Macaca mulatta: one gene and its partners. Each later gene encodes a partner of the first gene's protein in a complex. Links are inferred from orthologs where the notes say so. Each region holds a gene or a part of one and is shown in the gene's direction. Other genes may lie near its edges.

Region 1 (3,090 bases):
CAGAAACATTTCCAAGGACATTGTGCTTGGTTCTTGCTAGGTAAGATTAAGGTAAAGAAGCAGCTGACTGCATGTGACTGGCTGGGATAAAAGGGAAGAAAGACTTCATACATAAAGTCTTTTACTTCAGAGTATCAGAGAGAACACTACTACTTACCTACTTTGTGAAATGTATGTGTTTTATTTTTAATCTTACCGTTCATTCCTTTTTTTTCTTTCTTGTCTTTCTAGAGGCACCCAGATGGTGTGGCCTCTGTGTCCTTTCGGGATCCAGAGGAAGCTGATTATTGTATTCAAACTCTGGATGGAAGATGGTTTGGTGGCCGTCAAATCACTGCCCAGGCATGGGATGGGACTACAGATTATCAGGTAAATTCTGCAGCTTGTCAGGGACACACACGTTGTTTCATTACCAACAAATACTGATCCTTCAGATCTAAATTTTGGGTTTGGTTTAACCTATTTAATGTAACAATGCTTCTTTTCTTTTTATTTATTTATATGTTTTAATTTTTTACTCTTCCTCTTTATTATTTACAGTGCTTCTTTTAAATAATATTTTGCATTCAGAAGATAAAGAACTATTTGAGTTTTTCAGTTTATAAGTCTGAAAGTTTGAGGCTTGTTCAGAATAGTGATAAGAAAAGAACACATTCAACCAAATGTTACTCTTCCTTTGTATGCTGTGAAGTATGGACAGAGCTCAAATATTAACTTTTTAAGAGATGAGACATTTCTGCAGTACTGTGATATTTGGCCTTTATTCAAGTGATCTTATTTAAGGTCAACTCTAGTAAATCAAGATGTAAAGTTTTGAAAACTGAAGACAGGGTATTGCTTTCCTAAGAAGAGATGCTTTATAAAATTAAGGTTGTTTCATCAATATTAGATATGTTCAGAAAAGTAACCTTTTGCCTAAAACTTATTTTAATGGCAGTCTCCATTTATCCACAGGTGGAGGAAACCTCAAGAGAAAGGGAGGAAAGGCTGAGAGGATGGGAGGCTTTCCTCAATGCTCCGGAGGCCAACAGAGGCCTTAGGCGTTCAGATTCTGTCTCTGCTTCCGAAAGGGCAGGGCCTTCTAGAGCAAGGCATTTTTCAGAGCACCCCAGCACATCTAAAATGAATGCTCAAGAAACTGCAACTGGAATGGCGTTTGAAGAACCTATAGATGAGAAGAAGTTTGAAAAGACAGAAGATGGGGGAGAATTTGAAGAAGGTGCTTTTGAAAACAATGCTAAAGAAAGTAGCCCCGAAAAAGAAGCCGAAGAAGGCGTCCCTGCAAAAGAATCTGAAGAGGGCTGCCCCAAAAGAGGGTTCGAAGGTGGCTGCCCCCAAAAAGAGTCTGAAGAAGGCAATCCCGTAAGAGGATCTGAAGAGGGTAGTCCTAAAAAAGAGTCTAAAAAGAAGGCACTCAAAAATGATTGTGAAGAGAATGGCCTCGCAAAGGAATCTGAAGATGACCCCAACAAGGAATCTGAAGAGGAGGCTGGCCCCACAAAAGAGTCCGAAGAAGATGACTCAGAGAAAGAGTCTGACGAAGACTGCTCTGAAAAACAGTCTGAAGATGGCTCCGAAAGAGAATTTGAAGAAAATGGTCTCGAGAAAGATTTGGACGAGGAAGGCTCTGAAAAAGAGCTTCATGAAAATGTTCTTGACAACGAGTTAGAGGAAAATGACTCCGAAAACTCTGAATTTGAAGATGACGGCTCTGAAAAAGTGTTAGATGAGGAAGGCTCTGAGAGAGAGTTTGACGAAGATTCAGATGAAAAGGAAGAAGAGGATGATACATATGAAAAAGTATTTGATGATGAGTCCGATGAGAAAGAGGATGAAGAATATGCAGATGAAAAGGGGCTTGAAGCTGCTGGTAAAAAGGAGGAAGAAGGTGATGCAGATGAAAAGCTGTTTGAAGAGTCAGATGAAAAGGAAGATGAAGATGCAGACGGAAAGGAAGTTGAAGATGCTGACGAAAAGTTGTTCGAAGATGATGATTCCAATGAGAAGTTGTTTGATGAGGAGGAAGATTCCAATGAGAAGTTGTTTGATGATTCTGATGAGAGGGGGACTTTGGGTGGTTTTGGGAGTGTTGAAGAAGGGCCCCTATCCACTGGCAGCAGCTTTATTCTCAGTAGCGATGATGATGATGATATTTAATCCCTTAAACTTGCTTTTTAGGGAGAGTCCTCCATCTACATTTGCCTGTGCTTCAGGGTAATTACTAGTAGTGTTACATGAACATGTGCATAGTGGTAGGATGCCATCAGATTAAAGCATTGAAGTTTTTCATTGTTACCTGTACCTAATGGTTTTAAATATATGTTAATTGATTGTTTAGTTAAAATGTCATAGTTACAATGCAAGTAAACTGGATACTTGTTCTTTTGTCAGATTTGTTAAATGCATGCAGAATAATATTTTTAAAAGCATTGATTGAAGTTTGTGATATTCATCAATAAAAAGTTGATAATACGCAGAAACTGAAAATTGGACTTGAGGTAAATTGCATTGTAAATTCTTGATACCGCTTTATTTATACTGACGGTTGGCTTTTCTGAGGACTTGAAGAATCCCTTTGTAGTCTCCTTGCTTCCCGCTGGTAGTAGCACATATGTCTCCATTTCCTCTCTATAAACCAGAACATGTTCCTAAACTCAGAAAACAACCCTCTGGATTTGCTTTTTCTGCCCAGCCCTTGCAAATTAACTCTTGTTTGTTTTCTACCCTCTTTCCATTAAAATTGACTCTCAGATGTGCAAAAGTGAATTTCCTGTGGTCTACAGCTCCCATTATTATTAAAAATCTAGAGAACCAGATTAGAATTCTGCCTTGTACTGTTAGCCTCCTTGGGCCCCTTTAGAAGTTAATTCAAGTTAGAGGACCTCTTCCCAGAAAAAAATGGGGAGGTTCATGGATGCCCTGAAGTTGAAGAACTTCATGCATGCTTCAGTTGTTCGTTTTTTTAGAATCTTAGTGCCTAGCACTGTGCAAAGTTGTGTAGTCCCAATAAAATTGTGGGTCTTTCTTGATTATGCTTTCCAAATTCAGTATTGATGAATTTACTTTTGATGTAGCATTAAGAAGCTGTTC
Region 2 (4,276 bases), on another chromosome or scaffold:
AAAGTAAAATAGTACAGAGGCAAGTAAAGTAAAAATGTGAGCCTTTCTCCAACTCCATTATAGCTTCCCGCAAAAACAACTCAACATTTCTGTGTGTGTTCTATGAGACTAGTCATTCACAATACATATACAGTTTTTGGTGCCGAAACTCTTGAATAATGTTCTCAATCTTGACTGTACTTCAGAATTACCTGGGAAGCTTAAAAATTCCTAATGCACAAGAAGCACTCCAGGCCAATTAAATCAGAACATAGGGGTGGAACCCAGGCTTCTATTTTATTTATTAATATTTTAGAGATGAGATTTCTCTCTGCTATCCAGGTTGGAGTGATCATAGCTCACTGCAGCCTCAAACTCCTGGGCTCCAGTAATCTTGCCTCAGCCTCCCCAGCTCAAATGATCCTCCCACCTCAGCCTCCCAAGTAGCTAGAACCACAGGCGTGCCAGCACACCTGGCTAATTATTTTGCTTATTTTCTGTAGAGGGTCTCACTAAGTTGCACAGGTTGGTCTTGAACTCCTGGGCTCAAGCCATCCTCCTGCCTCGGCCTCCCAAGGAGCTGGGACTATAGGCATGAGCCACCATGCGTGGCCCTTTTTTGTGTTTTTTATTTTATTTTAAGCTTCCCAGAGAGAGAATGTTGAGAACTAATCTTTCACCAAAGTATTTTTAGCTCTTTGTTCTCTGCTAGGTTAACACCTACTCGGTCTTCAAATCTCACCTCAAAGTTCACTTCCCCAGGAAACGTTTTTTCTGAATCCCTCTCCAATGGTGGACTCTCCTTGCCGTATTACATCAGCTTGTGTTTTTAGTCAAGTCTATCATTATTATTATTTTCTTTGCAGAGACGGTGGCTACGTTGCCCAGGTCTTGAATTCCTGGGCTCAAGCTATCCTCCCGCCTCAGCCTCCCAAAGTGCTGGGATTTCAGGCGTGAGCCACTGCGCTAGCTTAGTCATCTCTATTTCCCCCGCTAGACTGAGCTACCCAGGATCTAGCAGAAGCCTGGCATATGACAACACATAAATGAGAGAATGTACACATGAATAAAGAGCGTGTATGGAGAAAGTTGCCGCATTATGTAGCGCAAATTAAGGCAGACATCAGCCTGCCCAAGACGCCTCTTTGGCTCTGGCGCGAAACATCCTCCCGGGCCGGCAAGGCTGAGTCGCTACGCTCCATCGCACTAATCAGCCGGGCGCTGGGGCCGGGAAGTCGGGGCCAAGCCATCATCTTTCGAGGAGGCCGGCGCTGTGCGCCCTCCAGTCGAGCGGGGGCGCTGTGGAAGAGCGGCAGCTTCCGGTCGGCTTTTCTCTTCCTTCGGCTGCCGGCGCCAGCACGTCCTGTTTTCGTTGGCCGCGCTGGGATGGCCGCCGCCGGTGTAGCAGTGGCTAGTGCTTAGCGCGGATCTTTGCCGGGCGCTGAGGGCAGCGCAGTCTCCTTGTTTGTCCCGTTCGCCTGCGCGTGGTACTCAAGGGCACCAGCATTCCCGCGGTCGGCAGCATGGGTCGGGAGTCACGGTGAGGCAGAGCACCGAGCGGGCTAGCGGGCGAACGGCTTCTTGGGGTCGTGAGAAGAGGCGGGAGTTGAGGTGGCCGCCCGGCCAGGCCTGGCGCGGCCCCACGTGCGGCCAACGCTGCCCCGCGGGCATTGGAAGGGCTGGGGGACCTCGGCTGAGGGAATGGTTGTGCTTGGGCCAGCGACGGCTTCTCCTGGACTACTATCAGAAGGTTCGAAACCCTGGAGCGGGAACAACCCTCCAGGACGTTAGTGATTGGGCACCACATCCCGCCACTTCAAGGGAGCCTGCCCTGATTACTTCAGTTAGAAGTAATCCCAGTTGGATTGCTTATTACTTCGCATTTCCAACGTTTCCTCGACTCCCATCATTCTATATTTTAGTTCTTTGTGCGCTTATGGTCTTTTCCCAAGTTACATGAAAGTAGCTTGTGGGCAGACATTCTTACCGCATCGACAGCACTGTACACGACTAGGCTTTTACTGGGCTACGATAAATACTTGTTGCGTGGGCATTTACTTCGCAAATAGATTTCGTATTTCTTTGTTACCTGCTTTTCTGTCCTTTGAAGTTATGGACTGTGAGCTCTTATTAGAACTATGAGATCTCATCACAACTTTAGATTGTTGATAGATTGTTAGGAACCTTGAGAATTTTATGTTAAAAATGACTATTTGCTATGTATTTAGCAATGAGTGAGAGATATTTTATGTGTAGGAACAATGAAGGCTTTTGTTTTTAATGCTAACAGTTCTTTGTTGAGGTAAAATTAACAGTCAGGGAAATGGACAAAACGTAAGGGTAAAACTTGATGAAATTTAGCAAGTATGTAAACCGTGTAATCACCTGGATGAAGATAAAGAATATTTCTTTAACTACAGAAAATTCCTGTAACGGTGTTTTAAATCTCTTGAAGGCTGCCCAGCCCAGAAATCTGGAAGTGATATTTATTTGACTCGTTTTTTCTCTCTCACTACCCACAGCCTGTTAGTTTCTACATCCTTTCCCCATTCTGGCTGTCCCTGACTTAATTGAGGCCCTAATTGTTTATTGTCCAGACTACTACACCTGTTTTAAATTGATTATTCTCTGAATTGATTGTCTTCCTTTGTTGCTCTCCTAATTGTTAGATCCCTCACACTACAGCCAGAGTGCCACTTCTGAAGTAGAGATAAGAACATGTCATGCCCCTGACTTAGTCTCCATTGGTTCCTACTGCTTCCAAGATGAACTCTGTGACAGCCTTCAAGGCCCTTCACAAGAAGATGCATTCTAGCCCTTCAGCCTTCTCCTTTACCTCTCTGCTGTGCATGGCCTGTGCTCTAGGTTTGTTCAGGGAATCATGAAAGGCCCAGAGGTGGGAAGGCTCAGGGTGTTAGAGAAATAGCTAAAAAGCCCAATTTTTCTACAGATATAGGTTTCATGAAGGGTTTTTATCTTTTTTGAGAAGTAGGAGGTGGGTCCTGAATAGGACTTGGGTCCAGAAGGTGGGTGGATTGTAGATTTTGTTTTTTTGTTTTTATTTTTTGAGACGGAGTCTCGCTCTGTCGCCCAGGCCGGAGTGCAGTGGCCAGATCTCAGCTCACTGCAAGCTCCGCCTCCCGGGTTCACGCCATTCTCCTGCCTCAGCCTCCCAAGTAGCTGGGACTACAGGCGCCCGCCACCTCGCCCGGCTAGTTTTTTGTACTTTTCAGTAGAGACGGGGTTTCACCGTATTAACCAGGATGGTCTCGATCTCCTGACCTCGTGATTCGCCCGTCTCGGCCTCCCAAAGTGCTGGGATTACAGGCTTGAGCCACCGCGCCCGGCCGATTGTAGATTTTGAAGATAGCAATTTGTTTGTGAACCTTTGAAGATTTTGAGTAAAAAGGGTGTAACAGAATCAGAATTCTCCTTAGCAGCAATGAGTAAGATTTAATGGAAAAGGGAATAGAAACAGAAAGACCAAGTCTTTAAGAATCTCCTAGTTAGATAAGTCTGATATAGAATAGTGATAGTTGGAACTCTGTGGAGGTGATATAATGTGAAGGGAATTACAGAGGTGAAATTGGTATTACTTGGTGTTTTTTTTTGTTTTTGAGACAGGGACTTGCTCTGTCGCCCAGGCTGGAGTGCATTGAAACAATCTTGGCTCACTGCAACCTATGTTTCCTAGGTTCAAGAGATCCTCCTACCTCAGCCTCCCGAGTAGCTGGAACTACAAGCGTGTGCCACCACACTGCTAATTTTTGTATTTTTTTGTAGAGACTGGGTTTCACCATGTTGCCCAGGCTGGTCTCAACTCCTGAGCTCAAGCTCTCTGCCCACCTCGGCCTCCCAAAGTGCTGGGATTATAGGCATGAGCCGCTGTGCTCAGCCATTTGGTGTTTTATTTATTGTATCGAATGAGAGCAAGAGAAAAATATTTACAACTAATGTTTTGAGCCTAGTGACCAGAAGTTGGTATGATTAATGGTTTGGGGAGGGAAGCGTAACAAGTTTGGGTTTCTACAAGTTGAACTTGAGGTGCTTGAAAGATAATTAGGTGCACTCATCTCCTAGTGATCTTATTTATATAGCTTTAAATAAATAGCCTTTGTACACTGATGGCTGTCCAGTTTATATTTCTAGAGAAACCTCTTCCTTGAACTCCAGGCTAATATTTCAACTACATACTATGTATCTCCACTTGGATACCTAATATTCTGATCCACCTTCTCCCTGGATCTATTTCTCCCTCAGCCTTCCCATCTTAGTAAATGGCAACTGAGTGATTTCT
Region 3 (4,335 bases), on another chromosome or scaffold:
CGGAAATGGACACCAAGAATATCTCCTGAAGTTCACTCCAAGAAAAGAGATCCACATACCATTCTCAATCCCACTGAAATTGTGGGCATTCTCAAAGGCAGGGCAGAGGGGGATCTGGGGTAGAGGACGGTTCTGTCTAATCCTTTTTTTTTTTTTTTTTTTGTTTCTGGACTTGCAGCCTCAGCTTTCACACTCCAGCCCTTAAGTTCACTAAGAAGGTCTGAGTTTCTGCTGCAGATGGTGGTGTTAACTGCTCCAACTCTTGTCCTGTCTTGCTTAGTTCCTACGGATATTTTTGTTTCTTGTCATTTGAAGGATTAAGAAACAAAAACAATCCAGAAATTGATCGGTTTTTTTAGACCAGTTCCATCCCTTCTGGATAACCAGATGTTAAATCGTGAGATCAGAGATGCTGTTCATCAGTCCCAACAAGATGGCCTACAGATCGCATTCTCACCTCGCCTTGCTGCTGCTTTAATTCCAACTTCTATTTCTTCCCTTATAGTTTTCTATGGGAATGAGGCGGATACAGGAAACACCCTGTCTCCTCTGTATTTTTGTAGCGGAATTTTCTATTTAAGGGGCTCATTAAAGCATAGTATTTATACACATTACTGGCATTGTTTCTTGTGTTTGAATAAAGGATTCTCCTAGGTAGGAAAGTGGTGGGTAAAAGGTGGGTATGATCCAAGAGAGGAAGGCATCTACTGTATTATTGCTAAGGAAATAGGGGAACTGGATTTGGTGAGACTCTGCAGAATTCAAGTGCAGTTTGGGGAAAGGATTCTGTGTGTGTCTCCCATTTAGAGGCAGATGGGGCCAGATTGTTCTAGAGATCCAGACTGAAGTCTCTGAGCTCCGATCCTATCCACCCCTCACCTGTGGTCACACACCACCTTGGAGCAGCCCTCACCCTCCCCATGCAATTACGACGAGATGAGCGCAGACGTCACTCCAGCTCAGACATTTCGCAGTCTCCTCCCCGAGGGAAAACCAAATACCTCCAGCCCAAATCAGGGCTGTTGAGGCCAAATCTGCAAGAAGGTTGCAGGCGAGATGGAGGGTTCCCTCTGCGCCTGAAAGCAGCCAAGTCCTCGGGTTGGGGGGACTCTTCAGCACATCCTTCTCTGGACAACAAAACATCATCACTGGCTACAAAATACATGAAAACTGAAGTTTTTGTTCTTTTAGCTTTCGAATTTACATTTTTGGGAGCAGTGTGATTCTTTCAAGTCTAGCAGTGCATTAAGACGGTCTGAGCGTTTCCGTTCCGCCCTCCTCGCTAAGACCACTAGCAGCAGCACCTCTGCGCGGGTGCCGAGGACTCCACCGCCCAACCCGAGTTAAGTCTTGGAGGCTCCTAAAATGGCTGCAGCCGCTTCCAGGCCCCTCCTCTTCCGCGGCTCCGCCCAGCGCTACGTCCTCCTTCGCCCCGGAAGTGGAAGTCGTGCTGAGGTCAGAAGGCGGAACCGCTGCTGGGAGACGGCGGGAGCTCTTTCGCCATGGCTGCCGGGCCGATCTCCGAGCGGAACCAGGGTAACTGGAGGGGGAAAGTCTGGAATGGGCTCAGCGTGGCTAGGAGGCCCCTACTACAGCCAGAAGTGCCTCTGCAGGGGTGGGAGACTGGACTCATCCATTCCCCAGAGGGCGCGAGACCGGCCCCGTGCCTCCTGGGGGCGGGGTGGCCAGGTGCTGGCTGAGGCCTGTGGGTGTGATACTTACGTCCAATCCCCTGCTGAGTTCTCACTCAAAAAAACAAAAAAATCCACTCAGAATACTAAATTAGACTTCAGAGGATTCCTGAAGTCCTGGAGAGAGAAGTTTAAGGGTTTAACTTTTTTTTTTTGCTCCTGTCCCCTACCCGCGTCCCCAGTTCCCCCGGTTGGGTTCCATCTTCATGTTTCCATCACCTCCTTCTTTCATGTTATACTCTCACCCTTGCTCTAACTTTCTGCTCCCTCCCTTCAGATGCCACTGTGTACGTGGGGGGCCTGGATGAGAAGGTTAGTGAACCACTGCTGTGGGAACTGTTTCTCCAGGCTGGACCAGTAGTCAACACCCACATGCCAAAGGATAGAGTCACTGGCCAGCACCAAGGTGAGTACATGACAAGGGGCAATTTGCTTCCGGAGGGTCCCGGCAGTATTCACAACTGTTTTGGAATAACATGAGCAACCTAAAGTATTTCTTTCTTTTAAGCCTCTGTTCAGTTTATTTCTGGAACCATTCTTAAGTGAGATTGTTTCTTTCTTGTTCTTTGTGATTAGAGGGTAGATGAGTTTTACCCCATTTTCAATCTCTTATGTTGTTAACCTCCTCTTCTCCACTTCTCCAGGCTATGGCTTTGTGGAATTCTTGAGTGAGGAAGATGCTGACTATGCCATTAAGATCATGAACATGATCAAACTCTATGGGAAGCCAATACGGGTGAACAAAGCATCAGCCCACAACAAAAACCTGGATGTAGGGGCCAACATTTTCATTGGGAACCTGGACCCTGAGATTGATGAGAAGTTGCTTTATGATACTTTCAGCGCTTTTGGGGTCATCTTACAAACCCCCAAGATTATGCGGGACCCTGACACAGGCAACTCCAAAGGTTATGCCTTTATTAATTTTGCTTCATTTGATGCTTCGGATGCAGCAATTGAAGCCATGAATGGGCAGTACCTCTGTAACCGCCCTATCACCGTATCTTATGCCTTCAAGAAGGACTCCAAGGGTGAGCGCCATGGCTCAGCAGCCGAACGACTTCTGGCAGCTCAGAACCCGCTCTCCCAGGCTGACCGCCCTCATCAGCTGTTTGCAGATGCACCTCCTCCACCCTCTGCCCCCAATCCTGTGGTATCATCATTGGGGTCTGGGCTTCCTCCACCAGGTAAAGCTTTTGGTTAAAATTTGTTTGTCTTAAGGTTGGGGGAGAGAGTCAGGAGGAAGAAAAAAAGAGCCTGAAAGGGGGATGGGACATGGAGTCAGTGAGTGATGGGAAGAGGACTGAGGGGTGATGGTAGTGGTGGAGAAGAAAGTTGTTGGGTTTCTTTAGGAGGGTGAAGTTGGTTGACTTTTCTAACATTGCTTTTGATTTTAGAGCACTGGGAGGAGGGGGAAAGAGCTCACCCTGCCCAGAGAGGCCAGATCAGGACAGGCTCTTTAAAGACATTTTCTCCTCACTACCATTAACTTTTCCTTTTTCCATTTCCTCTATAGGCATGCCTCCTCCTGGCTCCTTCCCACCCCCAGTGCCACCTCCTGGAGCCCTCCCACCTGGGATACCCCCAGCCATGCCCCCACCACCTATGCCTCCTGGAGCTGCAGGACATGGCCCCCCATCGGCAGGAACCCCAGGGGCAGGACATCCTGGTCATGGACACTCACATCCTCACCCATTCCCACCAGGTGGGATGCCCCATCCAGGTAGGTGTGCTTTGTTGGGAGGGAAGAGCTTGGTAGAGCATCTCTGTTACCTCTCACCCTGCTGCCCTTTGTTCCTCAACAGTAACAGTTTCAGAGTTTCCTTTCCTTCAGACATTCTATTATAAAAACATACAAAATACTCTCTAACATCCACCTCCCTGTATCCATTTCTTAAGTTTTTCTGACAAGAAGACTATACTTGCTGGTTTTTATTTCTTTAACCTTTAGTTCCATTCTCTTCTCTGACTCCAGCTCAAAGTGGTGACCTAATTGCCAAATCTCAGGGACACTTCTCCTCCTTATCTAGTTTGACCTCTGATGTACTTGAAACTAGTCGTGTCCTCCTGTTTGAAATTCTCGTCTCTTTTTGCTTTTGCTTTTCTAGATCCTCCACCCCTCTGACTCCTTAATCTCAGCTACCATGATAGACTCTTGTCTACTTGTGCCTAGATTTTTGTGCTTGTTTCTCTTTTCTGCATATATCTATAGTTTTAATTGAGCATATACTGATGCCTCCTAGATCTGTATCTCTAGTCCATAGCTGTTGACATTCCGGATCCTTAATGCTTTAATGCTGCTGCTTAATAGATAGCGTCATTTTTCTGTCCCTCTCCTTCAAACCCATTCTTTCTCTAGCAGTCTTTTTTTTCAGGTGCTTAATTCATGAATCTGAGAGTGATGTTTGACTGCTCCCTATCACCCCACTCTTAATACCAAGTCTTATTTAATATCAGTGGCATCTCTCCCCATGGCCAGTGCCCTAGTTCAGTCTCTCATTCCCTCATTATTTAACACTTAATTTATTGTAGTAATCTCCTTCCACTTGGACTCCAGTTTTCCCTAACTTCGATCTACTTTCACAGAGTAGGTTTTTTAAAACACAGATGTGCACACACTTGCTCAAAATGACTCTGTTGCTCC

Evidence for each region.
Region 2: HTATSF1 (region 1) and DDX46 share a complex: the UniProt entries of both Homo sapiens proteins name them as parts of the 17S U2 SnRNP complex. The link is inferred for Macaca mulatta from reciprocal best matches to the Homo sapiens genes HTATSF1 and DDX46.
Region 3: HTATSF1 (region 1) and SF3B4 share a complex: the UniProt entries of both Homo sapiens proteins name them as parts of the 17S U2 SnRNP complex. The link is inferred for Macaca mulatta from reciprocal best matches to the Homo sapiens genes HTATSF1 and SF3B4.

The regions. Positions count from the first base shown.
Region 1 is NC_133426.1:142,836,384-142,839,473, forward strand, and holds the end of HTATSF1 (17S U2 SnRNP complex component HTATSF1), read left to right. Parts: intron 1-231; coding exon 232-369; intron 370-954; coding exon 955-2,157; 3' UTR 2,158-2,487; downstream 2,488-3,090. UniProt on the Homo sapiens protein: Component of the 17S U2 SnRNP complex of the spliceosome, a large ribonucleoprotein complex that removes introns from transcribed pre-mRNAs.
Region 2 is NC_133411.1:143,673,171-143,677,446, forward strand, and holds the start of DDX46 (probable ATP-dependent RNA helicase DDX46), read left to right. Parts: upstream 1-1,391; 5' UTR 1,392-1,502; coding exon 1,503-1,519; intron 1,520-4,276. UniProt on the Homo sapiens protein: Component of the 17S U2 SnRNP complex of the spliceosome, a large ribonucleoprotein complex that removes introns from transcribed pre-mRNAs.
Region 3 is NC_133406.1:117,227,118-117,231,452, forward strand, and holds the start of SF3B4 (splicing factor 3B subunit 4), read left to right. Parts: upstream 1-1,450; 5' UTR 1,451-1,502; coding exon 1,503-1,536; intron 1,537-1,968; coding exon 1,969-2,097; intron 2,098-2,335; coding exon 2,336-2,878; intron 2,879-3,207; coding exon 3,208-3,414; intron 3,415-4,335. Other genes in the region: MTMR11 (myotubularin-related protein 11), read left to right, coding at 1-123. UniProt on the Homo sapiens protein: Component of the 17S U2 SnRNP complex of the spliceosome, a large ribonucleoprotein complex that removes introns from transcribed pre-mRNAs.